Linked DNA regions of Styela clava. The protein of the gene in region 3 purifies or fractionates together with the protein of the main gene of each other region. This does not show direct contact. Links are inferred from orthologs where the notes say so. Each region holds a gene or a part of one and is shown on either strand. Other genes may lie near its edges.

Evidence for each region.
Region 1: the proteins of DNA-directed RNA polymerases I, II, and III subunit RPABC5 (region 3) and DNA-directed RNA polymerase III subunit RPC10-like purify together in Homo sapiens (affinity purification with mass spectrometry; 3 studies listed by BioGRID and IntAct, with this or other methods). This does not show direct contact. The link is inferred for Styela clava from reciprocal best matches to the Homo sapiens genes POLR2L and POLR3K.
Region 2: the proteins of DNA-directed RNA polymerases I, II, and III subunit RPABC5 (region 3) and DNA-directed RNA polymerase III subunit RPC9-like purify together in Homo sapiens (affinity purification with mass spectrometry; 3 studies listed by BioGRID and IntAct, with this or other methods). This does not show direct contact. The link is inferred for Styela clava from reciprocal best matches to the Homo sapiens genes POLR2L and CRCP.
Region 4: the proteins of DNA-directed RNA polymerases I, II, and III subunit RPABC5 (region 3) and DNA-directed RNA polymerase III subunit RPC6-like purify together in Homo sapiens (co-immunoprecipitation; 3 studies listed by BioGRID and IntAct, with this or other methods). This does not show direct contact. The link is inferred for Styela clava from reciprocal best matches to the Homo sapiens genes POLR2L and POLR3F.

What each region holds. Positions count from the first base shown.
Region 1 is NC_135259.1:10,998,676-11,006,740, reverse strand, and holds DNA-directed RNA polymerase III subunit RPC10-like, read right to left. Parts: upstream 3,308-8,065; 5' UTR 3,155-3,307; coding exon 3,090-3,154; intron 2,506-3,089; coding exon 2,411-2,505; intron 1,427-2,410; coding exon 1,260-1,426; 3' UTR 115-1,259; downstream 1-114. UniProt on the Homo sapiens protein: Core component of RNA polymerase III (Pol III) which synthesizes small non-coding RNAs using the four ribonucleoside triphosphates as substrates. Can mediate Pol I proofreading of the nascent RNA transcript.
Region 2 is NC_135255.1:9,168,205-9,175,780, reverse strand, and holds DNA-directed RNA polymerase III subunit RPC9-like, read left to right. Parts: upstream 1-4,479; 5' UTR 4,480-4,539; coding exon 4,540-4,980; 3' UTR 4,981-5,082; intron 5,083-5,285; 3' UTR 5,286-6,756; downstream 6,757-7,576. UniProt on the Homo sapiens protein: DNA-dependent RNA polymerase catalyzes the transcription of DNA into RNA using the four ribonucleoside triphosphates as substrates.
Region 3 is NC_135252.1:12,675,258-12,681,109, forward strand, and holds DNA-directed RNA polymerases I, II, and III subunit RPABC5, read right to left. Parts: upstream 1,498-5,852; 5' UTR 1,433-1,497; coding exon 1,229-1,432; 3' UTR 765-1,228; downstream 1-764. Other genes in the region: nucleoporin NUP35-like, read right to left, coding at 150-162; transmembrane protein 256 homolog, read right to left, coding at 420-764. UniProt on the Homo sapiens protein: DNA-dependent RNA polymerase catalyzes the transcription of DNA into RNA using the four ribonucleoside triphosphates as substrates.
Region 4 is NC_135251.1:26,464,124-26,472,786, forward strand, and holds the start of DNA-directed RNA polymerase III subunit RPC6-like, read left to right. Parts: upstream 1-4,864; 5' UTR 4,865-4,953; coding exon 4,954-5,006; intron 5,007-5,334; coding exon 5,335-5,452; intron 5,453-5,778; coding exon 5,779-5,846; intron 5,847-6,468; coding exon 6,469-6,649; intron 6,650-7,398; coding exon 7,399-7,563; intron 7,564-7,927; coding exon 7,928-8,017; intron 8,018-8,317; coding exon 8,318-8,488; intron 8,489-8,663. Other genes in the region: dnaJ homolog subfamily C member 8-like, read left to right, coding at 198-935; histone-lysine N-methyltransferase EZH2-like, read left to right, coding at 1,520-3,787. UniProt on the Homo sapiens protein: DNA-dependent RNA polymerase catalyzes the transcription of DNA into RNA using the four ribonucleoside triphosphates as substrates.

The DNA.
Region 1 (8,065 bases), on a different chromosome or scaffold from region 3:
AATTTCAAAGCAATCGGTCCAGTATTCAAAGAGAAAAGCGATTTCTTCAAAACGTGTCAATGAACAAGAACAACACAAGAGAGCAATTCTCAAATGTATGGACACGCAGACAATTCTCCAAAAATCATATGGGTGACTTATCAGTACCTGTATTGGGGTACCGTGACGGTACAAGGACTGTCATGGATATTTTAGGTCCTGTGACAATGATTCATTCTTCTTGATTATATTGAAACATCAATTGAAATATCTAGTGCTATAAGTCAATTATGTAATGTATCAGGTACCACAGCCAAACATTTCACATAAAAACGTTACTAAATAACATGCGTCAACTTAACACCACCTGAATTAGGGTACAACTTTCGGTACAGTGACTGTCATAGCTGTTTAGGGCTGATGGACAACCAGACTACACGGACCAGATAAAATATGTTATCGCAAGCACTACAGATGATATGCAGCAAATTGTGCGTATGATGATGTACCTTTATATTCATTCTGAAACTGCGTAGAGGGCACACGCCATCTTTTTCTGATGAAATGTAAGGTAATCAATGATAGGTATGGTCAATCAGTTTTCTATTCCACTAAAATAAATGCATATCCTTGGGATTCTATTACATATCTTGAAAACAACCAATCGACTGCAATGGAAAGGAATCAATAACAGATCAAATTTGACGATTTACCACGATCGATCGTATATAAATCATAATCAAAACAAGATAAAATTGAAAACCTTACCACGCATGTTTGTATCAGCAGAATAGCAGGTTGTTATCGCTAGGGCCATGTCACACCTTTTGTGGGCCCTTAGCACTTATGATTTTGGTCTCTAATATATATAAAAAATATTAATTACGAAAGTTGCGTTCTATGTTATCTGAATGAAGTAACTATCTGTTTTTATTACTAATTGCGGACTTTCATTACAAAAAGTGATAGAGAGATTCAAGATGATATTTGAGAATTTTTCAATCAGAACCTCACCCAAGCTGGTAGTAGTGTCCATACCAAACTGGAAACCTTACAGTATGGAAACTGTGAATCCTTCTACTCTAATACAAGTTTCGTGATGCATGAAGGTGTATTATAAAAAGCTTGTAACTTATTAATGAATTTGAGCATTGTGAAGAATTCAGATTCTTATTTTCACACATTGACATCCACTTAGTAATCATTTTCCAATTTCTGCTCTAATATCATTCCCTCCCGACTCAAGATGATCCATATCGTTTTGTGCTACATTGACCAAATCAGTCCCTCCAACGATGACCACATTCAATCTTACAACATTTATAAAAAGTTGTCATTGGCTCATCTGCTGATCGAGTTTGAATTTGCATGAAGAATGCCCTTTTGTGTTCACATTTTGGACAAGTCTCTTCTGTTGAATCAACATTCTCCCATGCAGCAGATCCACCTGGAAAACCAAAGAGATGTGAATGACTGAATTTAAAATAAAAAATATACAATGAGATTTGCAACATCGAAAACCGAATGAAAAGCTGCAAAATAAAGGGGATTCAAAAGTATTATTTGTGAGTACACAGGATGGGAATTTCATATTTATCCGAAGGGAGAGGAAAGGAAAGTGGATGATTGATTAATAAAATGGCGTACCACGACCTCTGATTTGATTATCAGTTTGTCGGGTATGGGATTGGCTAGCTAAGTTACCAGATGTTTCAGATGCATGGCCATGATGGTGCAAGGAGGCCATGACTGACCAGTGGTTACATGAACCACCCACGGGCAGCGTGGTGTCTAGAAGACCTATCTCATGTAAATACTTTCCCCGCTTACGTTGGATTCGAATAACTTTGGGACTAACATCATAAAATGAATCTGATTAATCTTTCAAACTCTAATATTCAGAATCACTAAGTATATGAATGGTAATAAAACCCATCTCAAAAATATTAATACTTTAAAAAAGACACTTGGAAATTTTAGAGACAAATCTGACAAAAGACATTATATTGAAAAAGACACCATGAGAACTAGTGTGATCTCATAAAAAATTTTGTGAGATTACGTTTGGTCTACAGATATAGACATTCATACCTATCTACATAATGAGGTTATTAGCGAAGATGAAATACATAAATATTCACTATTGAATGATTCCAATCTCTGGAAAAAATGCATTACAAATATGTTCAAACAAAGCAATCACGGCCACTGTATTAATAGATACCCAACACATTTCAGATCACTATATCAAATATGGTTAATTGATTAGCTGTTTACAAAACTGGCTTGAGCTATGGATAGGATACCACATATGATTATTCACTTCGGATTGATATGAAGTTTCTTACCCTATTACGCATACACTCTAGGACTTTTAGTGAACTTCGAAATAATCATAAGAAATTTTTACATTAGTAGTTGGTACACTTACCTAACACATCATCCACCTCCTTTAACTTTGGATATTTCCTTGCGCTTATTCTTCTATTAATATTATGAATGAATGGGCAAGTTGGGCAAGCAAACCTGAAACCAAAAAAATATTGTGAAAATGCAAACAGCACGAGAGGGCTGGTTCACTGAACACCGCCAAGTATATCCAGTTGGCATGGCATAACTATTTTCGCATATGTCATTTCTAACCCCCACCTGACTACGTCATCCAAAAATTACGTCATTCCTTTTTATCCAAATTATTATATTTCATACTGGCAAATATCATATCAAAAAGTTTTCTGTAAAGCGAATTATGTTCGGTTTTAGCCATCCCTGGTATTAGATCAGATTCAAAACACAATACTGCCAATAACTTGGTATGATGTGAACTCAACTTAATAACAACATTTCAAAACATCACATTTTTGCTTCAAGTCTCAAATTATATCCAAAATTGTGACATTCCAGTACAGAATATGAATAATTCAATTGAAAGGTCAGTAAACCAATAGAAGCAAAAAAATTCTATTTCAGTATTTTTAATCGACAAGCTATAATTCCAGCATCCAAAAGTTACTGAGTTACCTATCAGTAGTTGTAATACAGTAATAGGAATAAATGCAAAAATGTGGATTTCAAAATATAATTAGAAATCTATTGATAAAGTGCAGTACCTGTAACATCTAGTCCCCTCCTCGACTGTTAACAAATTCCCGCAAGTAGGGCAGAACAACAACATTGCCAAATGATGAGAACCCTAATAGCAAAGTTGAATCAGATAGTTAGATCAGAACATGCCTATTGTAAATATGTTTTACAAGGTTAAAGCAAATGTTGAAATTGAAATGTCTGTAAAGTGAATGAGGTAGTACAGTAGTGGGAATTCAAAAAAATAAAAATTAAAGCATTTGTTTCACAGCTCCAGTACAGCCCAACGATTAACATACCGTACAGCCGGTGTGCTACAGCATTATGATGATTATGTGACAATTTTTTTGTGGCATCGGAAAATCATTTTGAGGTTTGACAATCGGTTCCCACGCGGAATATTCTTATTTTCAATAATACTGTATTTCTTTTGAGAAAATGGATCCCACCTAAAATTGAATTTTTCGAAAAAAAATATTAGACTTATACATCATATAAAGTGCGTGATTAAAAAGACCAAACACACTTTACGTCGTTGCGTAAATGCTAGATGTTCGATCCCGGTCGCCATGATAAGGACGAGGATAAGGATAAGGATAAGGATGCTTATTGTTATTTGCTCATGCTTATTGTATTATGTACTTGTATCGGAAATAAATCATTATCTATCTATCGACCTTAAACTTTCCAGTGCGGCACTTTCAAGTTGTTTTCATACTAAAATGTCTCGTGGTATTTTCTCTTATCGTAACTTTAGATCCAAATATTCCCCGATCATAGCCGATATTGTTTTGATAGCTCTTGTACGCTTAGGAGTTAATGTGAAATTGTTTTGTTTACATCACTTTTCTATTTGCGCGTAGGATGGGATTTTAATGAATAAGGTCTATTCATGGTTAACTGAATGGTCTATATAGGTAACTTTAAATTAAATTACTTTCGTTAGGGTTCATTAACCTGAACTCACTTGCAACAATGATTGTTGTTATTTTTCGCTGGTTATATATATTTTTTTATATTTAAGCAGTATTTCTTGACTTCTCACGATTTTTTCTATTTTAAACTATGTTGCCGTTCCAAATGGAGAAATTTGAAATCATCAAATCGAATGAAAATGTTTTTCGTTAATTGTGATTTTTATTATAATTAATTAAATTATCAGTGGTTGACGCCATGAATTTAAGATCCACAGAAAACTTTTGATGTATATATTTTAGTCGTTGCTATTTTAAAATCGCAATTCAGCCGAGATATAAACGATTGATAATTCCATCCAAAGTTACCCGATTTTACGGTACGTGAACCACCACACGGCGGCGAGAAGCCCAGCAATCCTCTCGCACAAAACTATCCCTTCATCCTCACGGGATTCGAACCCACGCAGAGTAATCAGAGATGCGGTCACAAATTTCAACTGTTACGTCATCGTTGACTTTTTGCTGATTGGTCATTGTTACGGAAATCGATGCCCTCGGCCTCGTCCAGTTTAGAGATGTATCGGTATCGGCTAAATGTAGACCGATATTTTCGATATATTCAGCTTTTTAATCCGATTCAAAATGTCTTAAAATTAGTTGTAATACGGATGTTGAAATTATTATTTTTTTGCGTGTAGGGATCATGTCCGCGGTAATTCGTTAACTCTGGCTATGCTCGTTCACACCCACACAAGTAGAAAAGGGAATAGGAATTCGACCTGTTTTAGCTATTTATCAACCAAACTAGCTCAACTAATTTGGCTATTTTCGCTGCCAAAGTTTTACAATGACATTTTCAATATTACATGCAAATTAAGTAGAAATATATCAATCAATATTAGTGGATTTTTCAATGTGTAAAATGCGAAATAAGATGTTATATTGGCACAGAATCCAACGCACGCAACTCGATGTATCAGTTTTATAGGATGAGTAAACATTTATTCATGCTACCATCAATAGTAGCCAAACCTACCAGTTTTCTAATTGAACACCGAGATTACTCGCGTCAGTGCACAATGCATCCGAATACCTATTTTTCGAACTGAAATATTGTGCATTATGAATAATGCTCACACACCATCGTTTTAACCAGTCTGCCATTCACACTTAATAGTAATAACTACCTGGTTCCGGTATCAGACTATTGGCTTTTTGAAATATCGGTATCAGTGCACCTCTAGTCCAGTTACCAATCCATGTCGGTTAGGGTTGTTAGGTGGACCACCCACCCCACGGCGTACCCTCCCACATAATTATCCCCACAGGATTCGAACTTGCGAACCGATGCAGGGTAATCAGAGGTGCTGTGGCGAGTGTATTCCTAACGCTCAGCAGAATACGCCACACCAGTTTGCTGATAACGGGTGAGAAAGAGTTCCATTCACCTTAAATATCTCAGAACAACAAAATGAAAATAGACAACGTTCGTATTTGTACCATGTTGCAAAACTTTTGTACTATTTTAAAATGTGTATCGATGATGATAAAATTGGCAATGTTACATAGATAAAAATTACAGAATTCTGATTTTTTAACATGGCATAAAAAAATAATTTTGAAATGGCTATTTCGACAAAAGATATAGACACCATCAAAATTGGACATAACTGGTAAAAGACCACAGATGATGGATATAACCAATCATAATTTCTTTACCATAACAAGTTTGGATAACAATATATCGATACCGTATGACCACTTCTGAAATAGGGCAATCTCACAGAGGGAACACTACATTGGGTAACATCCCCCAGCAAATTTGAATACATTTTCAATACAGTCATGTCAAATTTGATGGTTGTAAGATTCCTTTTGTTGAAATAACACAAGGAGATAATTCATTGATTTATATCATAATTAGTATATTTAGTTGATATATATTACAGAAATAAGCTAAGCAATTCATGAAAATTCATTAGAATAGGCAGAAGTAAAAAAATGATATATTGAAAAAGGAGCAATGAAATACCACACGTCATGACAAAAATTTCGTTTGATTTATGATATATATTTTTTTGATACTAAAATAATTTTTTCTCTTATTTTTGGAATAAAACTGAATAGACAATAGTAGATATAGTTTTATTAAGTCTGAATTAACCCATAATGCCACATATTCAACAAATATTGATTATATAAATAAACTTTCGTAGTTTGTGATACAATATGGAAAACAGTTTTTAATCAATTCAATACTGTCCAACCAAAAAAAATTTGAGAAATATAAAATGTTTAAGTAATCAAGAGCGTATAATGTATACGAAATATTTCATAGATAGGACAGAACACTTTGCTGTTCTGTTCATCAGAATAGGACAAAAATTTATTCTCTGTATTTTGCCTAACAGTAACAATTCAAGTCCAGTAACCAAACTAATACTAAAAATACACCAAAAAAAAATTATAAAAACAGTCCAAAATTGATGAAAATGCACATCCAATCAAAGACTTTTAGACTTGACTGGAAAAATCTTCTAATGAGCTTGATGGCCTTTATGTGTTTGAATTATAAAGTATGTTTATATCATGTCATGCCTTGACCATAAAATATAATGTATCAATGTTTACAAAAAAAAAAGAATATGATCATTTTGCAAACAAATGTCCTAGGTCATGTTGTCATTTAATAACCGAATACACGCTAAAAACTAGACTAAAATCTGAACTGAATGCATTTATTCTTATACCTTTTGGTTGTTTTATGAGATAAATGGAAGGGGACTTGTCTTAGTCATAAACATACCAAACAAAATACAAATGTGGAATGGTGTCTAGGACAATGCAAGCGTCCAAAAAAGACTAATCCTGTTCACAAAATTGAAAATTATAAGTCGAACCTAAACACTTTTTTGTTTGATTCAATTGAACACTTGTTATTCCAAAAATCTAAAATGTACTAGTGCATTAGGTGCGAGTGGTGGACTATAATTGAATGGTGCACAATTCTTAACATGGTAAGAAAGCCAAGTTGTTTGTATATCACTCTTTCATTGATTACATCAATTTCCCAACCAATCGGAATGCAATTGCGCAATTTTGGTCGTTAAATGGAACAGATGAAAGAAAGCGATGTAATATTACTACAAATAGAAAAAGCCAAAAATGCTAAAAAATGACTTAATTGATAGAAAAAAAAGTATTATATTATTATCAGTACTAGACTTAATAATAATATTAGCAAAATAAAAAAGCATACATGATTTGTTAGCATATCGAAATCAGTAAAATTTTAAGTATCAGTAATATGCAAAGTAAAAATTGAAACAAAAAAAAAAAAAATTAAACTTTTTATTGTAAACATTATCAGTAACATCTTCATATCATGCTTGTACCATACCAAAAATAGTGTATTATCAGCTAGATAGATCTCAGCTGTAACATAGAATGCTCTCATACGGTTTCGATTTTAAAAAATTTCATGACAGAAAAATGCAAATTTGATAATATGAACTACTTACTACTCTGCTTAATATCAACAATATGCCTTGAGTGTGCATGATAATTAGATAAAATAACAAGTACACATATTTTTCAATGACTCGTAGATAAAAATAATGTTAAGTACTGTAAAAGTTCTGTAACTTTGGTTTCAAATGCAATAGTGTTACTCTTCATATATAAAAACAAAGCACCATATTTTTTCGTACCATAGTCACGCAAATAATTTTCTAAAAATTCATCATACCGATAAAAATTTAACTTTATTGTGCATTATATATCTATTCATGCATGATCAAGCATGAGTCAATAAAGTAAAATGGCATTTTAACACGGACCGTCTATGACCCACACTTGAAAAAAACAGCTTGACATTACCTAGTAATATACAACATGGTAGTAAAAAAATTTCAACATTTTCTGCAGATTTGGCATAATATTTCAAAAAATTGATAATTTTCTGAATTTTTTTATTCAGAATATAGTCGCCATGATGTCTGATGTTGCAATATACGTTTGCTTGCAGCCTTATCTTGTGCAGTTTTATTGCGAGTTCTTGCTGCTTTTTGCATGGGGGCTGAAGG
Region 2 (7,576 bases), on a different chromosome or scaffold from region 3:
TAGCCCCTTTGTTTTACCTTCGTCGTCTCATTCTACATAAATGCAACATTCATCTACAATCCACATCATTGTTGCCTTGACCGCTCAATGACTGGCACATCATATTTAGAGCCAGTAAGACTGCGTCGGTACAGTTTCGAAATTAAATATGATCGTCAAATTAGTTTCTAAAACTCTCAAACGATTCCATGTGCTGCAAAACCACAGTTCTATAGTCTGATAATGCAAGTGAAGAATTTTATTATGCAATTACCCAAAAGCGCGAATCAATCAATTATGCTACTTCATTATGCCACGGTGTGGCTCAACGGGCTAAGCGTTAGGAATACGCTCGCCACCGCACCTCTAATTACTCTGCGTGGGTTCGCAGGTTCGAATCCCATGCAGGGATGGTTATGTGCGAGATGATTGCTGGACTCCTCGCCGTCGTTGGGTGGTTCACGTAACCGCTGGTTGGTTTCCTTGGCTTCCTCCACCACCAAGTCCATGCTTTCGAAAACAAACAATATAACTAATCCCATTCCCGACTTGGAATGGTAACCGGACGAGAGGCCGTGGTTCGCCATATGGATAAGCCGTCTTATCGGCTTTCCTCTCCCCGGGATAAATATGTAAATCCTATCCTATCCTAAAAAGTATATCTTCATTAATAGTTTCTATTGGGATTTCAATAAGAGTTTTTCGCTTCCGTTCCTTAATGTTATCAAAAGTAATTAGATGGCTTCTCATTTTTTCCAAATTTTCTATTTTATAGGCTCGGCATTTGAATTTTATTTCCCTTTTCCTGTTTTCCCTATTTCCCGTTCTTGCAACGTTTTCATTCGCTAGTAGAGTTCTGGGTTCGATATGTTTGACTCCATATATATATATATGAGTTCCGATTCGCCATTTTCATAACCATTATGTTTATATACCTCGCACTTTGCATCGTGGCTATAAACGTTTTATAACCTTACGCTACGATAGAATGAAGATATACATTGATGAGCGCGCTATTAACACCTCCATCCCTGTGTTATAAATAGGTCATATTTCTAAAATGCTTCAAAAAACAAATAAACTGAAATGGATGTTGAGTATTGGCAACGAAATCGTTCAAATCTCACAGGAGATATAATTAAATTAGATATTTGTGTTACTGTACTTCATCAGTCATTTATTTGAAAATACTGTCAATGGTTACGCTATATATGTAACGTAAAAACTATCATAAAAATATTACCATGTCAGTAACTAAATATGTATATATAGGTAAAATGAAGTGAAATGTCCATCAAAACATATAATATTGCTTGTTATTGTTGGATTCCAATGCCAAATATCCCAACCAACGTTGCCATAAACTGGAAACGTAAAAAAATGGGATAGGGCGAGACCACTTATTCACTCTTGCAATTAATACAAAATAGCTTTTTAATATTTGTGAGATTTCGGCTAGATGTATTTTTGAGCCAAGTCAGAATTGGCAATCTTGTAGCCTAATGTGCTACATATATTTGAGATGGTTGTCAATTTGGCTCTATGGCCGTTGCAAACATCCGAAGGTATTCAAATCTGATAGCCCTATGTTCTTTAGATATTTCGAATTTCACTGTCCATTTTATTCATTCGTTTACACTTTTCTTTTCAAATTTACTCTGATACATATCTGTTATATTCCGGTACCGTTATAGAGAGTATATGTTTGTCCCAAAGGATTCATAGTTTATTATAAACACCACACCATCACAACACTATTTTTTTAGTTGGTCAACACCCAAAAGCACCTCTTTCAACAATTTTTATCAGTCATTTAATGTTCGAACAAAGTCTTCATTCAAGCGACCTGTTTATTCTAATCACAATTTTCCTTTACCATTTGTAGTGTTATTCCTACAATCACTTCATTTTCTGGTTACATGAAGACCCTTAAAATAAACTCATTGTTGTCACTGTTATTCACAAATTTATTTATTTGAAGTTATTGCCCGATTCTGTATCGTGTATTTTTGTTTTATTGTGTTATTCGACTGTTTTTGGTGGACGGGCGCGTATTTTCACGTGTTTAACTTTTCTTTAAGTTATGCCCGCCCTCCAGGTCCTCTTTGTTTTGTGTTTGTTCGTTTGTTTTTGTTTTATAACAGAGCGACCGAAATAAAATTGATTGATTGATTGATTGATTTAGTGTATGGTTCAAATGTGTAAGTATGAAAATAATATGTAATCCAGTCGTGTTTTCATCCTCATATTCACATGAACTTTTTTGATTGCGCTTTGAACCTTTTTTTAAAATTTTCACTAGATATTGCTGGTTTTACATGTGTTGTTCATGCTTTATCAGTGTGTTAATGTCGCTTCTATTATGTTTGAGTCAAAATATGTCCAGCTGATTGTCATGTCCTCGCAACCCGGTTACCACACTCACCATAAACCGCATTCATCAATCAATTTTATTTTGGTCGCTCTGCTATAAAACAAAACAACACTAAACGGACAAACAAAATGCAGGATCTGGAAGCCGAGCATATATCAAGAAAGAGTTAAAAACGTAGAGTTTCGCGCCCGTCCACCAAAAGCGTTAAAGCACACAACGAAATAACCACACACGATACAAAATCGGGCAATTATTCTGAAAACAATTTAATGTGAAATAACTGATCAAAAGAAGAACAGGGCAACCTTTTTTACAAACTACAAAAATTTTGTGGCCGTGGTTATCATATGTGCAATATTTTTGATGGAGAAATAATGTTACATAAAAATTTGTTGTATTTATGTAGGGAACGCGCACGCGCACAAATAATTGTAAACAAAGACTAAAACGGTAGACTCTGAAAATTCATTTCGGGCGTCTGAACTTTCCACGATGTTTATACACTATATACATAAAATGTCCAGTACCTATTCAGATAAGCCACTTTTCGCAAACCAGAGATCAAATCAAAATTAGGGTCGACCTTTGCCCTTGTTAGGCCAACCGCCCAGCTCAACGTAAATGAATCCCACAAATAAAGCCTCTTCCGGGGGATTCGTCACAGCTTATACTTTATGGCGGAATTCTTGAATTTGTGTAATGTTTCTTAGTTCTTCAGCTGTCAATCTGTAGACCAATCAATACTTTTGATTCCCATTTGTTTCAATTGCCAATTCCAAATCCGCAGGAAGACAATTCAGAGAAGGGTTACCAGGGACAATAGAATCATTCATGAATCAGATTCACAAATTTAAATGATGAAATATACCAATATTCTACCTATATTAATGACGAGAAATGAATTTTGCATATAATAGAGTTATTTTTTCGTCCGCCCTCTCCTCATGAGTAAACATGAAGATCCTGTTTATTTTATCTACTTTCTTATTGTAGACTCATTGCACTACGATTGTTTTTCAGATGAGTCTGGTCTTTGGCAAGTCTTTGGTTGTTCATTTGGTTAGAAAAATATAGATGCCCAGTTGTATCAGTGTGCAGTAAACATCAATTACTAGTGTACTAGTAGTTCAGGCAGTCAGGACATCTTTGTGAGAACATCAATATGCTCAGACGCTGACGGACAACTCACCAGAGACATCTCGCCTATTTCACTGGTAGCGATGGTGACTTCTGACTTCTCCGTCTACAAGCTGACAAGCCTATACCTGTACCGGTATACCGCCAATACCGGTACCGGTACCGGTACAGTCTATATGAGTGTAATTCAGAAAAGTGAGTAATCAATAAATTAAATTCCAGTACGGTATTCAGTATTCCAGTACCGGTATTCAGGCATTTGTAACCAAAAAATGGAACAATGAAAAATGGAATTCGTCAGTTCGCATACCGGTACGGTACCGTATCCCTCAGACAGTCCAGCAGGCAGCAGTCAGACAGTCCTGCAGTCATAGGCCTCATTCTGTCATTCCAGTTTCTTTGTCAGGCACATTGACTGCTGGAACATGTATATCTCAGTATATGGTCTTGGTTTTCTTCGGCATAAAAGAAATCTCAACTCACAGACTCAGCAACTCGAAGACTGAAACCTTGTGGTGAGCTCAGAAACTGGCTTACAACTAATATTACAGTTTGAGTTTACACTAACAGACTAAGTAGGTCAGCAGTTAGGTGAGTTGCAGTTGACGATATAGAAATTTTTAATACCTTTTGAATATGTGGACATTTTGTATTTGGAGAATTAATTATTATGTGTTACACAGGGTAACCCCAAGAAAACAACTTATTTCAAGAGTATTTTTTCCCAATCTGCTATTACTGTACTGTACAATAATTTTTAAGCCTTTAACATTACTCTTTAATATCCATTTGTCTCACAGTATTCACTCAGATCAATGCAAATTTCGTGCAAAATCTATTTCCAGAACTCCTGGCCATTGTTGTCAGAATGTTTATTGGGAGTTAGATAGCAATCTGAATACAGCATTGATTGCTTGCAACTCAATCTATGAAGAATGATTTCTCGACTTGAGTGAGGTTACCGAAATTGAACTGAATTCTTGTTTATTAATTTCAGATTTATAGTATTACTATTAAATAATATATTATATCAATAAAAGTGTAAAAAAATGGAAGTAATATCAGATAAAGTTCCAATGATGTTATCCAATTATGAAATGCATGGATTATTGACAACATATTCTGCAGAAATGAAAACAGGGAAACATAAAACTGGACAAAGAGATCAAAATTTATCAACTATCACATATGAAGTTCTTAAATATCTGGAGGGAACACCATGTATTAATCAAAATGAACAGTGCATTAAAGATGCATGCCTTGCATTGGCACCATATAATTTGTCAAAAGCAGAAAAACTTCAAATAATGAATTTACGACCTACGACCCCTGTTGAAATTTCGCTAATTGTGGAAGAAAATGAAGAAAGAATTTCTGAAGAACAAATAGACGAGATTCTAGAAATCGTAAAAAAACTTCCTCCCGGTCCCGGATCTGAGGACAAGGAGAATGAAGCAGAAGAAATGGAGGAGGAAGTGGGAAATGAATGATTCTCACGTTAATCAACAGCATTAGGTGGTTGATGGATCTTTCGTCATGAAATATGCTGATGTTAGACATTGACTGAATTGTAAAGGCTGAGGGTAAAGAAGGTAAAGCATTGTGGTTTCAAATGCATATTTGATTCACTTGCTTATTTGAATGAAGTTAATTTATAGTAGGTTTATGAAATTCTATCAATATGGATTGAGCAGAACTTGGAATTGGAGATAAAAAAACAAAACAAATTGAAACATTGGCTTGATGATTAATTGACTGCTTTGAAAAATTATTTGAGACAGCTTTACTTTTTCAGAGATTGTGCTTTTCTTGAAAATCACCATTTCAAAGAAAAAACTTTACTGTAAAGGCAGTTCTTTACAAAACTGAACTGGTTGGATGCATGAAAAGAAGAACACATGGAGATTTCAGATTGTTCTATTGTATAAACAAGGACATTTATATTTAACATCTTTTTAATAAATGAAATTACTTTTTATAGCAATGAAGTAATATTCTTTAATGTTGGACTCAAAGTGGACCAATGGATCGTTTCGTTATTATGTTTTTGTCAAAATTTTTCTTCCTATCATTATGAAAAAAAATATTTTTTCTCTTCAATCACTAGACAAATTGCTTTAAAATTTTCAGTGGTTAGAGATTGTATTTTTTCCAGAAGGCTATACCGTACTATTTGTTGTTATTTGTTTGATATTTTAACTAAAATGCGGTGTAATCTTTAATTAGGGGAACTCATTTTTATGCCATCGTGATGACTGTCTTCCACAATTGTATGACATTGTGACGGTACTGTAACAGATTGCATACTTGTACTACAGCGTTTTTAACTTTGTGTTCTTATATTTGAGCATCGCTCTCTTGTTGTTAATAGTTTTCGAAAATGCTTTAAGTTCTCAGAATACAAGTACCGATAAATAACAAATTCTACTATGCTTCATTTCACTAAGTTTATTTAATATTTCAAGTTACTTATTAAAGTCTGAACTGATACGTATTATAAATCATATATTAATAAAATTAATATAACAAACTTCCATGTATGTGTGGTGTGGTTGAAAAATAAAATAACAGGGAACAGAGAAAATGAAAAGTTTGTTACCATGATGGCATCATTTTGAACACATCATCTGTTGTATATTTCACATCAGATTGCTTTGGGTTAGCCTAGGTTTTGAAGTATTACCATATTAATATGTAATGTTTGGAGGAGGCCAGTTTATTATTATGTCACCATTGCATGTCTTCAGAACAAATCATTTTTTTGCTGACAAATAATTTTCGGTTTTTAATTACAGAACTGATTTGTATGGTGGTGTCATTTTGTTGTTGTTGCCAGCTTATTTTTTTTTCTTTGTCATTGTTTGGATTTTGAAATTTATTTCTGCATGATATTTTTTTGTTGATTTGTTTTATTTTGTTTTGATTTAGGTAGATACCATGATATACCTACTTTTCGGTGTGTATATATGGTATCCCAAAAATATGAATGATTGTGTGGTTTGTAAGTTGTAATTCTTGTTCTTTAAAGTTCATGATTGGAAGAAAAAAATGTTCCCGTTATTTTGGACTATTTTGCTGCATAATTATTGTATGAGCTAGCAATGAAGTTTTTTCAATTTTTGATTTTATTTCACTGTATTTGTATAGCAGTATGAAAGGCAATATCAACTATGATTTGTATGATGAATTAAAATCCTTTTAAGTAATAATCTTCTGAATTCAAATTATGAAGCATGATTGCTGATGTTTTTATTTTTATTTTAAAGCATGCTGTATATACTAGTTGGTGTGTTTTGTTTGAGCTTAGCTTTTTGTACTTTGGATGAATCAATGAATAATTGCAAAACACTTTGTGGACATGGATTTCAATAGCGGGTGAGTTTTTTTTGTTCAATTTATTACATTTGGATGAAATTGAAATTGCTATATGTTAATTTTGGCAAGTTTTACTAATTGGCTATGTGTCAACCTAGGAATATGTTGAAATTTTTTTTCTCTGTGGGGGGGGGGGGGAATGGCCCTCAAGGCCACCCTCCCCCAAAATAAAAATTTCGACATATGTATAATGCACGGTGAGACACAAATTCATACGCCTTTTCAAACACCATATTGCTATATTCTTAAATGATTCACGGAAAAACAAACGTTTCTTTGCTTACTATCAATTATTGTTTCACCATGATTTAACAAAATATTGTCATGTTACGCTATGATGCTTTGATCTTGTATAATTTGCATGTTTTTTGGTTTAATCATTGATATGCTTGAAGTATTGACTTCAAGCTCTTTTGCACGATTTTTCTGGTTGCTAGGACGTGATGCTTTATTCATAGTGTGTACGGGGTCTGCTGTTTCCTAATTGTTATTGGCTGTGCCGATTCTTGAAGTAAAGTTTGTCAATGATAGCATCTTGGTAAATTTTAATATTTAGTCATGAAAAAGAAAGATGTCGGGATAGCTCAGTCAAATGCAAACACTCCCTTCCATCTGCTTATGAACTCTAACATTTGCACAGTTCTTCTCGGTTCAAAAATCACTTGCCGTAATTCAGGCCAATCTTTAGTGCCAAAGCCCGCAGTATCTCCT
Region 3 (5,852 bases):
CAGCAATGGGCGGCGATTACCGTCATACTTTTTAAAAAAAAAATTAAAGGGATAAAATATAATAACATGTTATTATTATTCATTGTGAATGTTTCTCTATACTATTTAGAATGATACAAATTGCATTTGAAAAAAAAAGATAGCTTTACCTTGATTGTCCATGTTATTTATACTTAATAAAAGTCAATGTCTACCCTGTCAGCTTTTATATAAAGAAAAATTATTTAATAAAACCTACAATACAAATACAAGACAAAAAGTAATTAGGACAACATATGATTGAAAAGATTTAATTTCAAACATTATTAATAATGATCGACTGTCATAAATGGATTGAATCCCAAAATATGTTGCATTTTACATGTTAAAAAGGTAAATTCTGCAAAATATAACAGATAGTGTTTGTAACACAGCCAATGTCAGAGCACCATAGACAGCCATCCCACGATTAACAAAATTCCTCCGTATGGTGTTATGGGTCGAATTGAACTGTCTCCTGTTATTGATTGGTAATAACAACTTCCACAAAACACAAGCATTCCTGTAGTCAGTATCGCTCCAGTTAGTAATGGATATTTGCATCGGCTCACTGCCAGAAGAGCAAGAGTATGAAAGAAATGTTGTCGATTTGCATTATCAAATATAAGTTTTCTGTGCTCATCTTCTTTATGTATACCATGTGCTCCGTATGCTGCTAATCCTACTGCAGAAGCACCAGATATTCCAGCAATTCTAACAAACAATCGACCATAATAAGAAGCCATCTAAGGAAAAAAACACTTTTTTCAACCTCCCAGATTATTCACAATTTAGTGGAACACATTATGACACAGTTTCTGTAAATAAAAGTCCATATGAAATAAGCACACAGAAACTCACACTTATCTTGAGACAAAATATGACAAATAGGTGCTTACAATTCGCAATAACTTCACAAATGAAAAGTTATAACATACAATGCTGCCGTATATTAAAAAATAACGAATATGATCATGCCAGTTTTATGCTCTGCAACAAATATTATACAATAGGTTTCTAACATCATTTAGACATCAGTTACATTGATCTGATACCTCAGGTTTCATATAAACAGTAGAATATTCAGATATTGCAATGATTCACCATTGTCCGGATTGAAAGCTGACCTATAATTTCACAGTTTCGTATTCCAAAATTCAAACATCTTTGTCCATACTTTACAATTTTTATGAAGTTGAGCTAATTCAAATTATTTTTCAAGTGGAGCGTAATTCAAAAGTTTTTCGATAAGATCAACATGAGCCAGTAACATGCGACGACAACAATATCGTTTCAGTCCAAGGGCATCTAACGCATCTCCTTCAGTGTATTCAGCTTGCAAAAGTCCGAGATAAGCTTCCCATTTATTTCCAACTACTTTTCCACATGTGAAACATCTTATAGGAATAATCATGCCTACTTTTAAATGGATCTGTAGTTATAAAGTTAATCTGAATAAATCATAGGACAAAATTCAAAAACAGGTCTCTCTAAAAACAGGCACTTGCGAATTCAATCACTTTTAAGATTTATTTTTTCATTTTTTTCGTAGTTTATTGGGGTTTGAGTTTTATTAGACATTGAATAAAATTGCACCTTCTATATCGCAATATTCCTTTCAATTCAATAATGTATAATTGATATTTAAATAGTAAAACATGGCAATTCTGAATACTTAATGAAAACACCAGGCACTTGTCAAGTTTCAGGCTTTTTCTAAAAACCTAATTTTGTAAACAGTTTTGTATACTCCACCCTGGTATCACACACACCCACCCTCCTTGCACAACTGTCTGTATAAAGTCCATATTATACAAATTTGATTTACCGTATTACAATTTCAGAATTTATACATATCAAAAGCAAAAGTGCATACATCCAGTCTTCAGTATTTATAATTACTAATCATTTTAGGCTATATTGCTTTTACGAGACGAGTAAACATACATACATTGCTTAATGTTTACTTTAAAAAACAAATTGAATACAGATAAATGCATACAAATTTTAAAGCAACTACAGAACTAGTCCGGTATTTAACAACAAAAACAAGAATTCTAACAACTTAGTACCATAAAACAATTTATAATTGGCTTTTAAAATAGTATGATGAAAAATGGTAGCCTCTCTCTTACACTGATAGTCTTTCGCAGCCACTAGTCCAATGCAGTTAAAATATTGTATGTTTTTCGCTAAATTTATCTCATTTTCATTTTTTTTTCAAATGTACAATATTTGTTGCTCGACCAAAAAAATAAGATCAGAATCTAAATTTGAGTAATTCAATTATAAGACTGAATTAGAATTCATACAGACTTCCAGTCGTAGAAACTGACATTAAAATGTTAATTCAATTCAAATACAGCAAGTGAGTCTCTTTGCATCATTCAAAATTAGAATTTGAACACAGGCTGCAATAGTGAAACAACCTATAAAACGCTAGGATTGAAACTATGTCTGTATGTTACAAAAACAAAATCACAGTGGAAAAAAACAGGCAAGCCCCATTGCGAAAATCAAAAAGTGTAGTATAAGTTTATTTGACTCAGTTTATTTATGCACTTGCTGAATTTGACACGTCCTATCAGTGAGAATTCTTCAATTGATCCGCGATATTTTACCCCTAATATTCAATGTCAAATAAATGTAAAAGGCGAGTTGATCGACCGTAGATTGTCAAATAGTATTACTCTTTGTATTATTAAAAATGATAAAATTGTCATAGAATAAAGAATTTCATTAAAAAAGAAAAGTATAGCAAGTTCTGACAAAAAAAATCTTTGAAAAATATGGTGAAAAAATACCAACTTTTATCGAGAAAAATCAGTCACTTGCAAAATTCGACACCTATTCGCCAGTCACAATAGTTTTTGTTTTTACAAAAAAATATGTAAATTCAATCATGCAAAATCTGTATATTCCGATGTTTGCCCTGAAAAAGTATTGAAATTACTCATATATCTGTATATTTGGTAATTAATACGGTACCCGTTTCTTTTTTTTTTAACAAAAAATTTTAAATTTAATACACATAGAGTCCCCTCCCCGTTATGCGATCATTTTTACCAAAATGCTTCTAATATGCTTTGTATTCACAGAAAACACTTCATTTTATCATTAACATACTCTACAAATCCATCTCAATCACTTCCCTTAAAATCATGCCGGTACCGTGACCGGAAAACCCTTTATACCGCCTCTACTTTCACCATGTCAGTGGGGCAATTGCGATCAACAACGTATATTTGGGACAACACTGAAAGGCTGAAAGAAGAAACGGATGAGGTGGAGGAAAAACGGAAGTTGAGGTGTTCCCGAAGGTGAAAAATTGGAAAACACTAAAAGGCTGAACACTAAAACGAGGCAGTGGAAGAAATTTCTTCCGAGGTGGCTGAAACCACTAAAAAGCTGAACACTAAAAGGAAGAAGTGGATGAAATTTCTTCCGACGAATAATGAGGTGGTTGAAGTCACTAAAAAGCTGAACACTAAAAGAAAGAAGTGGATGAAATTTCTTCCGACGAATAATGAGATAGTTGAAGTCACTAAAAAGCTGAACACTGAAAGGAAGAAGTAGATGAAATTTCTTCCGACTGGTGTTTATGTGGTTGAAGTCACTAAAAAGCTGAACACTAAAAGGAAGAAGTGGATGAAATTTCTCCCGACGGGTGTTGATGTGGTTGAAGTCACTAAAAAGCTGAACACTAAAAGGAAGAAGTGGATGAAATTTCTCCCGACGGGTGTTGATGTGGTTGAAGTCACTAAAAAGCTGAACACTAAAAGGAAGAAGTGGATGAAATTTCTCCCGACGGGTGTTGATGTGGTTGAAGTCACTAAAAAGCTGAACACTAAAAGGAAGAAGTGGATGAAATTTCTCCCTCCCCTCCAATTTTCACGGCTCTATCTTTATTTTAACCTCCACATATGCTTCCGTTCTTCCTGAAATAGAAAAAGAGGTTTCGTGCTCTAAAATTGGTCATTTTCGACCACTAGTGGCGTTTTGACCCAGAAAAATCTCATTTTTGGACGAAATTTGACGCGAAGCGAGCTGTAGGTAGGCGAGTAGGTATGGATTATGTATACCGAGCGGGAATCTATCACTATTTCTAGTTTGGCCAAAACAGGGTGCTGAAAGGTTGTGATCGTAAATGTGACGTGAACGAATATCGGGGAGGGGACTCATACTCTACTCAGATATGCACCCAAATGACACTGCCCCAATGCATGTAAATACCTACATCGGAACAGACACATCTACCTGCATATCTGAGCTTTCAATAATACCAACAATTATGGGAGGATTGCACTATTAAATTTGCACTATTAAATCAATACCCGTACCGTTACTCCTTCATCCCACTTTTTAAAGAAACAGTTTATATAATCTTTAGCGCCACGCTGTGGATAACCGGTTAATTTCACTCTCAGCCCCAGTTACCGTATTTTCATAGTTAACTTAATAATATCAAATAATAATATACGCTGATTATTTGGTTTCTGCAAGACTACTTATCCTTCTTCTATGCTTTTGTGCCGGTGGATCCGTATGCATATATTGCAAGGATGCTGTAGCAAGAGTAGAGATAACAATCCTAAGTGATCTAGGAGTCTTGCTGCACACTAACAAATTCATGAGACTAACGATGAGACCAAGCCTTATTGCACTGTATTCTACACTAATAAATAGGACACCCGGGGGACGGTCGCTACGCTACCCGCAAGGGGAAATGTAAGGAAAAGATTTGAGTATAAAAAGTGGATGTTTGATTATGAGTTTGATCGTAAATATATACTAGGGTTTGATGGATGCACCACGGTCGTTGCGCCGGAAGAATGTCGGAATTCGCCCGGCGCGCTGCGCCCTCCTTCTTTAGTCCATTAAGTAATTTAAATAGCACATCATAAACAGGTCGCCCATAATGACAGTTAATTCACCCCAGTGAAATTTTTGCCTGTAACACATAGGTCACTTAATATAGTTCGCTCACGCTTTTTTCGTCTTTGTTTATTTATGTTACACAGTTCTCTCGTTACGCTTGAATGTTGCGTCAAGGTATTCTCTCAATGCGATATTGTGGCGCGTGTAGGCCTCAGTTATCTGACTAACTATGTGTGGATACTAAGGAATACTTGTTATAAAAGAAATAATTTGAATGAAACAGAGAAGAAGCTGTAACGGACTTTTCCCCGACTTTTGACCCTCGAAAATATTCTTCCTATACTTTAGCATTGCAAAATTTTCGGGACTTATTTTATTTTGAGAGTGGTTTCGAGTAAAATGGGGTATTTGTTTCAAACCATCATTATAATTCATTGCATACAACATTTTGTTTTCAAAAGTACCTGCAAAGAATTTAAGCCAAGTCTATGACAGCTTTTTCTACACTAATTTTTTATTGCTGCAATTAAATTAAAACTCCTAAGAAGACAAAGTGATATTTGAATTATCTGATTTATATTTCCGAAACACAACTGAAAACTAACGAATAAAGTTCAAAAACGCGGTATGTTTACGACCACGCTCGAAAATCTGTCTTGAGCGAGAAAAGTGTCTGCAAATCCAGTTAATTAGTCGGACTCGGTTCAGGTTTAATACCCACGGGCCCGGGTCGGACCTGCAAATCCAGTTAATCAGTCGGGCTCGGGTCGGGTTTATTTTGGGGCCCGATCTTACCTTTACCAGCGATCGCTGTTAAATATCATGATTGGCAGACCCTTTGGCGTCAACGAGTAGCCTACATATTGAAATATATCAATCCAAATATAACGTTAATTCAAATCATGTTTGAGAAGAAAATAAGCGGACCACAGAAAAATAAAATAAGCTTACCTGCC
Region 4 (8,663 bases), on a different chromosome or scaffold from region 3:
GAATTCAACATGATGCATGTACTGCAGTGTGACAGTACTATCAACTATATTTTGGTGTAATTCCTAACTTCATCTGGACCATGCTTTTTGTTTGAGATTTATTTGATTCTGTGATTGGTTAAGTCAGCAAGTTAAAACCTAATGATTCAATTACATTTTCAGCTAATGTTGTAAATAGGTGAATTTCAATCTTAATCATGGCTTCAACCAGTTCTGATCCAAAGGCTGAAGATGCATTCAATACATATATGTCCGAAGTGAAAAGAATTGAAGCCGCGGATTCAGTACTAACACCAAAACAACAGATTGATCGTTTAAATCGACCTGGATCAACTTATTTTAATCTTAATCCATATGATGTTCTACAAGTTACGCCAGAAACTCCTCTACCAGATGTTAAGAAGAAATTCAGACGCTTATCTATACTTGTTCATCCAGATAAAAATTTAGAACAAAAAGAGCTCGCACAAAAGTCATTTGATGCTGTCAAAAAAGCATGGGAATTACTAAATGATGATAAAGAAAGAGAAAAATGTTTAGGTGTAGTTTCAGATGCAAAAGTACGACTTGAAACGAAATTGAAAGAAAAAAGGAAGAAATTGAAAAAGGAAGGAAAACCTGCTGAAATACCAGAAGATGATCCGCATGTTTATGAATCAGAACTACACAAAGAAACTTGTAAACTTTTTGCTGACATGGCGATTGTTCGTAAAGAGATGGAAACTCGAGAAATGAATGAAAGAAAAAGGAAAGCGCAACAAGAAGCTGAGGAAAAAGAAAAAGCGAAGCAGCAGAAAGAATGGGATAAAAACTTTGAGGAAAGTCGTCAAGGTAGAGTTTCCAGTTGGCAAAATTTTAAGAAGGATAAAAAGAAGAAGAAAAAAGACACGAGGGCACCTTTCAAACCTCCGAAAGTCAGAATGGAAGAAAGATGATTTTCCTCTCATTATAGTTATATTCATCAAACTTATATCTCTAAAACTTCAATTGTCTTTTGTTTCACATCATATCGAAATAATCTTGAAAATTAGAATTGATTGTGAAACCTGTGTACTAGGCTATAGTATTATGCATTGACATAGAATCATCATTTTGTTTCTCCCAATTGGGGTCAAACTTTACAGTAGTGAATGAGTCCCCACTAATTTTAAATTATGTTTCATTTAGAATATTATTATTGAAACAGTTTTTATATGGGTATGGTTTTCAATAATCTGTCAATGTTATTAAGATGGAATTTATGGATTGTTCTATGTATTTGTAATAAGAATTTGGTGAATTGAAAAGCATATATTTTTCAGCAAAAAAAAATCAAATTGGAAAATTTAAATAGTACTGCATTGTGACACAAATTGTTTTTCACCAAGATTATATTAGTAGTAATTTTCCGTTTATTTTGTTATTTTGTCTCACTTGACAGGTATGCGGCTATATTAGCTTATTTTTTAAAGTTTATTGAACTATGCTTCTTTGTTATTTTCAGCTTGTGTCACTGCTTAGTTAATTAGTTAAGAACAAAATGGATTGGAAAAAAATTGTACGAAGTGAATACATCACGCTTAGATCGGCGAAGAGATATCAACGTAGTGACAAAATTAAACAAGCTTTCATAAATAACAGAGTAAAATTGAACGAAAGAATTTCAAAATTGGAACAAACAAATGAAAAGTACAAAGTACAACAACCAGATTCAGAACCGGTTTTTACAAATAGACCATTCCTTCGATGCTGTACAGTGAAAAGTAGTGTTCATGCTTTCCGTGATCAGTCTGTTCCTTTATGTACACTGCAAGCTGTGCCAAGTCTTCCTGTTTATTATACATGGGTCCCAGTTCAACAGGATTTCATGGTTGAAGATGAAACAATTCTACATAACATTCCATATATGGGGGACGAAGCTTTGGATAAAGATGGAAGTTTTTTAGAAGAGTTGATTATGAATTATGATGGTAAAGTGCATGGGGACAGAGAAGGTGGTTTTCTAAGTGATGAATTATTTGTTGATCTTGTTGATGCACTGAATAAATATAATATCAGTCGTAAACGTCGTCCTTTGAGAAGTCGTTACAGAACTGATAGTGCTGCAAATGAAGCATCACAAGACAACACTACAAGCGAATCAAGCAATGAAGATGCAGATCCAGCGAAAGAGAAGGAAACTGCAGATGCGGAGCAAAATAAAAATTCAGACTCGTCATCTGCTTCTGGTACAAACACATTTCCTGCAGATGAAATATTTGATGCTATTGCTGATTATTTTCCTGATAAAGGTTCAGGTGAAGATTTAAAAGATAAATATAAGGAGCTGACTGAATTGATGGATCCCGATGCACAACCTCCTGAATGCACTCCCAATATCGATGGTGCAAATGCTAAATCAGTACAAAGGGAGCAAGCATTGCATTCTTTTCATGAATTATTTTGCAGACGCTGTTACAAATATGATTGTTTTCAACACAGTCATCTTTATAGACCACCTATTAAAACGAGTAAACGAAAAACTCAAGATGTTAGAACACCTACAGAACCTTGTGGTGCTGATTGTTTCCAACACCTTGAAGGTGCACAAGATTATCGTGAAATATCAGAGAAACCTCACAGACATTTGCAGAGAGGATTGTCAAAGAAGAAATCTCAGCTTAAAGGCGAAGGAAGAAGTGGGAGCAGCAGTGGAAGTCGACCTAGTACCCCTGCCCCAAGTGAGAGTGAGATGGATACAGATGCGACAGATACTGAAAAACTACCTACAACACAATCAATGACATCATTTCTTGAACTCGTTCCTGAAAATTTGACTAAAACTATATGGGATGGAGCAGAGTCAACTCTGTATCGGGTATTAAGAACAAATTACCCAAACAATTTTTGTTCGATTTCGAAACTTATTAAAACTAAATCTTGCCAAGAAGTTTATGCCTTTGCATTACTTGAAGCTACACGCTCGCAACATGACAGCGGTTCACAACCTCATCCACATGAACATGATTTGAGAGATTCAGCTTCTCCCAGAAAGAAAAAAAGGAAGCACAGACTTTGGTCTCTCCATGCTAGAAGAATACAACTGAAACGAGATTCGTCCAGCAATCATGTTTACAATTACCAGCCTTGTAATCATCCAGGACAGCCTTGCGACAGCAATTGTCAATGCATTATGGTTGGAAATTTTTGCGAAAAGTATTGCCAATGTCCGTCTGATTGTCATAATCGCTTTCCAGGATGTCGTTGTAAAGCTCAATGTAACACCAAGCAATGCCCATGTTATCTTGCAGTGAGAGAGTGTGATCCAGACCTCTGCTCTCTTTGTGGTGCTGACCAGCTCGGCACAAATGCAAGTAAATGTTCTTGTAAGAATGTTTCAATACAAAGAGGTCTCCATAAGCATCTACTTTTGGCTCCATCTGATGTTGCCGGATGGGGAATTTATATAAAAGAAGATGTGCCCAACAAAAATGAATTCATTTCTGAATATTGCGGAGAAATTATATCTCAGGATGAGGCAGATCGTCGTGGAAAAGTTTACGATAAATACATGTGTAGCTTTCTGTTTAATCTCAATAATGATTTTGTTGTGGATGCCACTCGTAAAGGAAACAAAATTAGATTTGCCAATCATTCCGTTCATCCTAATTGCTATGCTAAAGTGATGATGGTAAATGGTGATCATCGTATTGGAATTTTCTCAAATTGCCCGATACAAGCAGGAGAGGAATTGTTCTTCGACTACAGCTACAGTCAATCTGATGCAGTAAAATATGTTGGAATAGAAAGAGAGATGGAAGTTTCCTAAAACTATTTGAGAATCATTATAATAGGCTACTACTGTAAATAAGTATAACAGTTAGGAGTTTTGTAGACTATTCTGATTGCTCACACTGCGATTCACTTATTGAATCAGGCAATTGAAAGCACTAGTATGGAATGTTTTCTTTACACATATTTATTTTGTTTGACGTGGTCCCTATTTTGCCAATGCATTATTGCGTTGGCTTTTCGTTTTATAAATTGAGGATGCAGTAGACATCCCCAGGGGCACAGTCAGGATTTTGCAGCGTAGAGTGGGGGGGGGGGGGGTGGGGCGGGGTCGGAGTCAGAAATACCCATGTAACGCATGAGGAAACAATTGATGCGATTATGCTACTCATTAAAATTGTGGTTAACGTATCTTGCGGTTGCATCGTTTCACATAGAAATAACATTGTATTTGAACTCTAAAATACCATGGCAATCAGTGGATATAAAAATGTGATATGAATTCTACAATTAGATTTTACTTTGGATTCATATTTTTGCGACCACGCAAATTTGTTATTGCTGATAATAAAATCACAAAATCTGTGATAAAATTGCAGTACAGTTTATGTTAGTACAATAAAAAATTGATTGAACATCAGTATCAGCATAATCCAAAAAAAATTGAGTGTGGCCCTGACGATAATTTATTAACTGATGGCATGCATAATTGACTGTTTTATCTTCAGTGACTATGGTATAGTTCCAACTTATTATAATGTGTTCCATGGCAACTCAGGCCCCGAAAACCCCCTGGCTGCACCACTGGACTCTGCTGTCTCTTTTGCATCATTTGCTGCTGAAACTTATTCATAATTTCTTTATTTAGCTACTGCATTTTTTTGTTGTTGTGCCAGACATTATAATCTATATGTTGTTTGAATCTGCTTGTTGTGATACCTTGTGACTGTCATCATATTTTTAAATCATAAAATCTAAATGTTTGACCAATACTGTTGTCTATAAAATAAATGCACATCACTTGATTCCAGAAACCTTTATGATCATCATAGAAATCCAGCATAATCAGATTTATTGGTTTATTGAAACATCTGTTCTATATCAATTGCAATGGTTTTGTACTTTTTAGTTTAATATCTGACATGGACTGAACTACATAGGCTATGTATGTATAAAATAATTTTATAGACAACTTCATTCATCATGGCAATGGAAGTCACTATGCAAGAGGGTAGTGGACTGCCATTGGAAGACAGGTAGTACTTCTTTATTTAGAGTTATTGTCAACAGGATCTCTGAAATTCATAGTATGGTAGTGGTATGTTTATACCAGTTCAAAGAACATATTGAGTTGATTTCATTGAGCAGACTATGATCTTAAATCACAACAACATTCTAATGCATTGTTGTTGGCGGCTTGACACCATTATTCACTCAAGAATAAGTGACAGATACTGCTAATTATTCTGCAAATAATGCGGTTTTCGATAATTTTCGTCATTCCTGATTATAACCATATATTTCTTCTGTGCATGGTTATCAATGATTAATAAAATTTGAGTTGAGTGTTATATTTCTGTCTAGAATATTGGCAATGTGTGCTGAATATCCTAAAGGAATCGGTGATGAGTTCATTCAGAAGAAAGAACCTCAAATTGACTCAAAGGAAAGAGTTGCTGCAATCAACAAGTTGCTTACAATGGTTGGTTTGTTTTAAATATAACATTGTAGTATTCAGTATAATTTTTGTTAATATAAAATTTCATTAATTATTTGTGAATGTGTCGGTCAATTCGATTGCGATTTTGCACCATGGTGTTGCTAACATAATAGTAACAGCATGTTTAATAAAATTTCGCTATATTAATTTCCTGCCCAGCTTTGGTCATGTTTATTGTAATGAGATCAATCTAGAAGCAGGTGGACAATGATTTTCTTGCCAAGATTCTAACTACACTAAAACAAAATTCGCCCACCTGTTGGAGATTTCTTAAATATATCTTAAATGTTCTGTACTTGGGTTTTCAGGGAAAGATAGAACTTCTGAAAGGAACTTCTGGATTGATATACAGATTGAAATGTACAACCGGAGCAAGGTATCTAGAGTGTTGGATTGTAATGAAAATTATTCTGCATCCACATTGTGCTTGGTTTTGGATCATATATGTTTTGTTAACTTTTATGACATGATTTCCCCATTTGCGTGGTTTGTGACGAAACATGGGTCTAGAGTTCATATAGTCACCCATTATACTAACATTATACACAAGTTCAATCTATTTGCTTTGTATGACATATATGTATTACCATAGTATCAAACAGCTGGAAAAGAGGAATTGACAAGAATCATTTTGTTGTCGAATAGTGGAATTTTGTCATAAAAATCTGTTATTGTGTAAAACTGGCCAATTTTGATTGCGATTTTGCACCATGGTGTTGCTATCATAATGGTTACAGCATGTTTAATAAAATTTCGCTATATTGATTTCCTGCCCAGCTTTGGTCACGTTTATTGTAATGAGATCAATCTAGAAGCAGGTGGACAATAGCCTTTTCACTTTTTTGGCAAGATTCTGAATAAACTAAAAGTAAATTCGCCACAGACGATGGCCCCTAGTCAAAAGGATCAAAGAGTCCTTTTTTGAAAATATGACATTAGCTACTTTGGATTTACTGCCATGGCATAATATTAATGGGAGACATTTCTACTAATTACAGCCAAATCAAAGGAATTGACAATCAAGATAAACTTGTGTATCAAGTTATAGAAAGTGCTGGTAATAAAGGAATATGGATTCGAGATATTCGACACAGATGTAATTTAATGTTGACGGAAGTTAACAAAATATTGAAGAATTTAGAAAACAGGAAATTGATCAAAGCTGTCAAATCTGTCACGGTATTTTCATTGCAGTCTTGTATTTTTGTTGAGACGTCCTAATACTGCAATCTGTGACTATTCTTATTCCAGGTTGTATCTGTCATAGCAAACTTATTTGAATGGTGGAATTTTGTAATAAAAATCTGGTATCGTGTAAAACTTGTCAATTTTGGCTGCGATTTTGCACCATGGTGTTGCTATCTAAATGGTTACAGCATGTTTAATAAAATATCGCTATATTAATTTCCTGCCCAGCTTTGGTCACGTTTATTGTAACGAGATCAATCTAGAAGCAGGTGAACAACAATATTTTTACTGAAACTAAATTATCTCTAGTCGATAACTGATAACCAAGGTCTGTCATGTTGCCAGTGTGCTTCTGATTATGAAATCTGTGAGTGGATTTTGGACTCTATGCCAGTTATTTACAGCTTTCTCTAGCTAGCATCTAAGAAAGTGATTTTAAAACATTCCCATAAAGAAACCTGGTCCAGTGGTCTGGTAACTGGAGGCTGTAGATCGTGGTATATTTGAGTGTCTTCGTCTGTATTTCCTATAAAGATAGATTTGAAAATACGATCCATCCTGATTGTTGACTTGTTTACATATTCAACTCATGACTAGTACAAGCGACTAATTCTGCTTTCAGTTGGTAGGATTGTTATGGGATTCTTCAATAAACATTTTTATTTTTTATTATGTCCTAAATTTTTATTTTAATAAATATGTATTTCAAACAGTAGTAATTTCATTCAATTTTTATTCAGGCTTCTAAAAAGAAAGTATACATGCTTTTCAATCTTGAACCTGATAGTTCAATAACTGGTGGAGCATGGTATTCTGGACAAGATTTTGAATCCGAATTCGTTGATGTTTTGAATCAACAATGTTACAAATTTCTTCAACAAAAAGAGGAGAGCGCTGCAAGTGAGGTTTGGGACCACTTCATATTATTCGTACACTGAATAACTAGGCCTATCTTATGGTGGTACTATATTTCTGCAGTGTACATTTTTGTTATTTGTCTTGTACTCAATACCTTGTGAATGTCATATGTTATATGGACATATATTTTGGAAAGGTTTGGAGTAAGAAAATTTCAAAAATTAATGAAGGGTAAAATTACTGCATTTGCCAGTTATTTAAATATTGCATCTGGTGTACTATCTGCAACCCATGCTCGGTGTAGTCAAATCAACGGTAACACTTTCATGGATATTTACTTTGATAAATTCCTCCTTTCAAGCGAACGAATGCTTTAGTGATATTCTATTCTTACTACTTTTGTTGTTATAGACTGCTATTAGCCCAAATGCAAGACAAGCTGCTTCTTATGCATCTTCTGAAGAAGTTTTAAATTTTATTTCAAACTTGGGAATCAGCAAGGTATGTTCATGTCATATCCATACATAATATTTATAATTTTGGTTGATCATTTGAAATGTAGTTTGAACTAGGGTTGTTTTAAACTAGTAACAAATAATTTTATGAGAGGTTGAAACAGCCTATTTTCATAATGCTTCCAGCTTAATTATTCACAATAATATGATTTTTTTCGATTTTTTTCCCAAAAATATTTCTCATAGTATTTGAGATTTGGATCGCGATACAATAATAAATATGATTTTGTAATATTAATAGTTTTTAATAATTGAATGTGGACAAAAAATAATCTTTCTTTTTCAGGTCAAGTTGTCAGTTGAAGATATTGAAACAATATTGAACACCTTGATTTATGATAGTAAGGTAGAAATGATGGTTGTAGGAACTAAAGATGGAACAAACAAATTATACAAAGCTGTACATTCTCTTGTTGAAGCAACTGACATGACAAGAGCCCCGTGTGCAGTTTGTCCTGTAAGATACTTTGAATTGTTTCTTTAAAACTTCCGTTCACAGCCACGTGTATCAATTTTATTAAATATGATCATATTCTGGATACTGCTTACAGGAACAAAATTGTTAATCATACGTTTTTTTGAACAATTATACAAACTAACTCTTTAAACAGGGAGCATAGCAAGGTCACAGG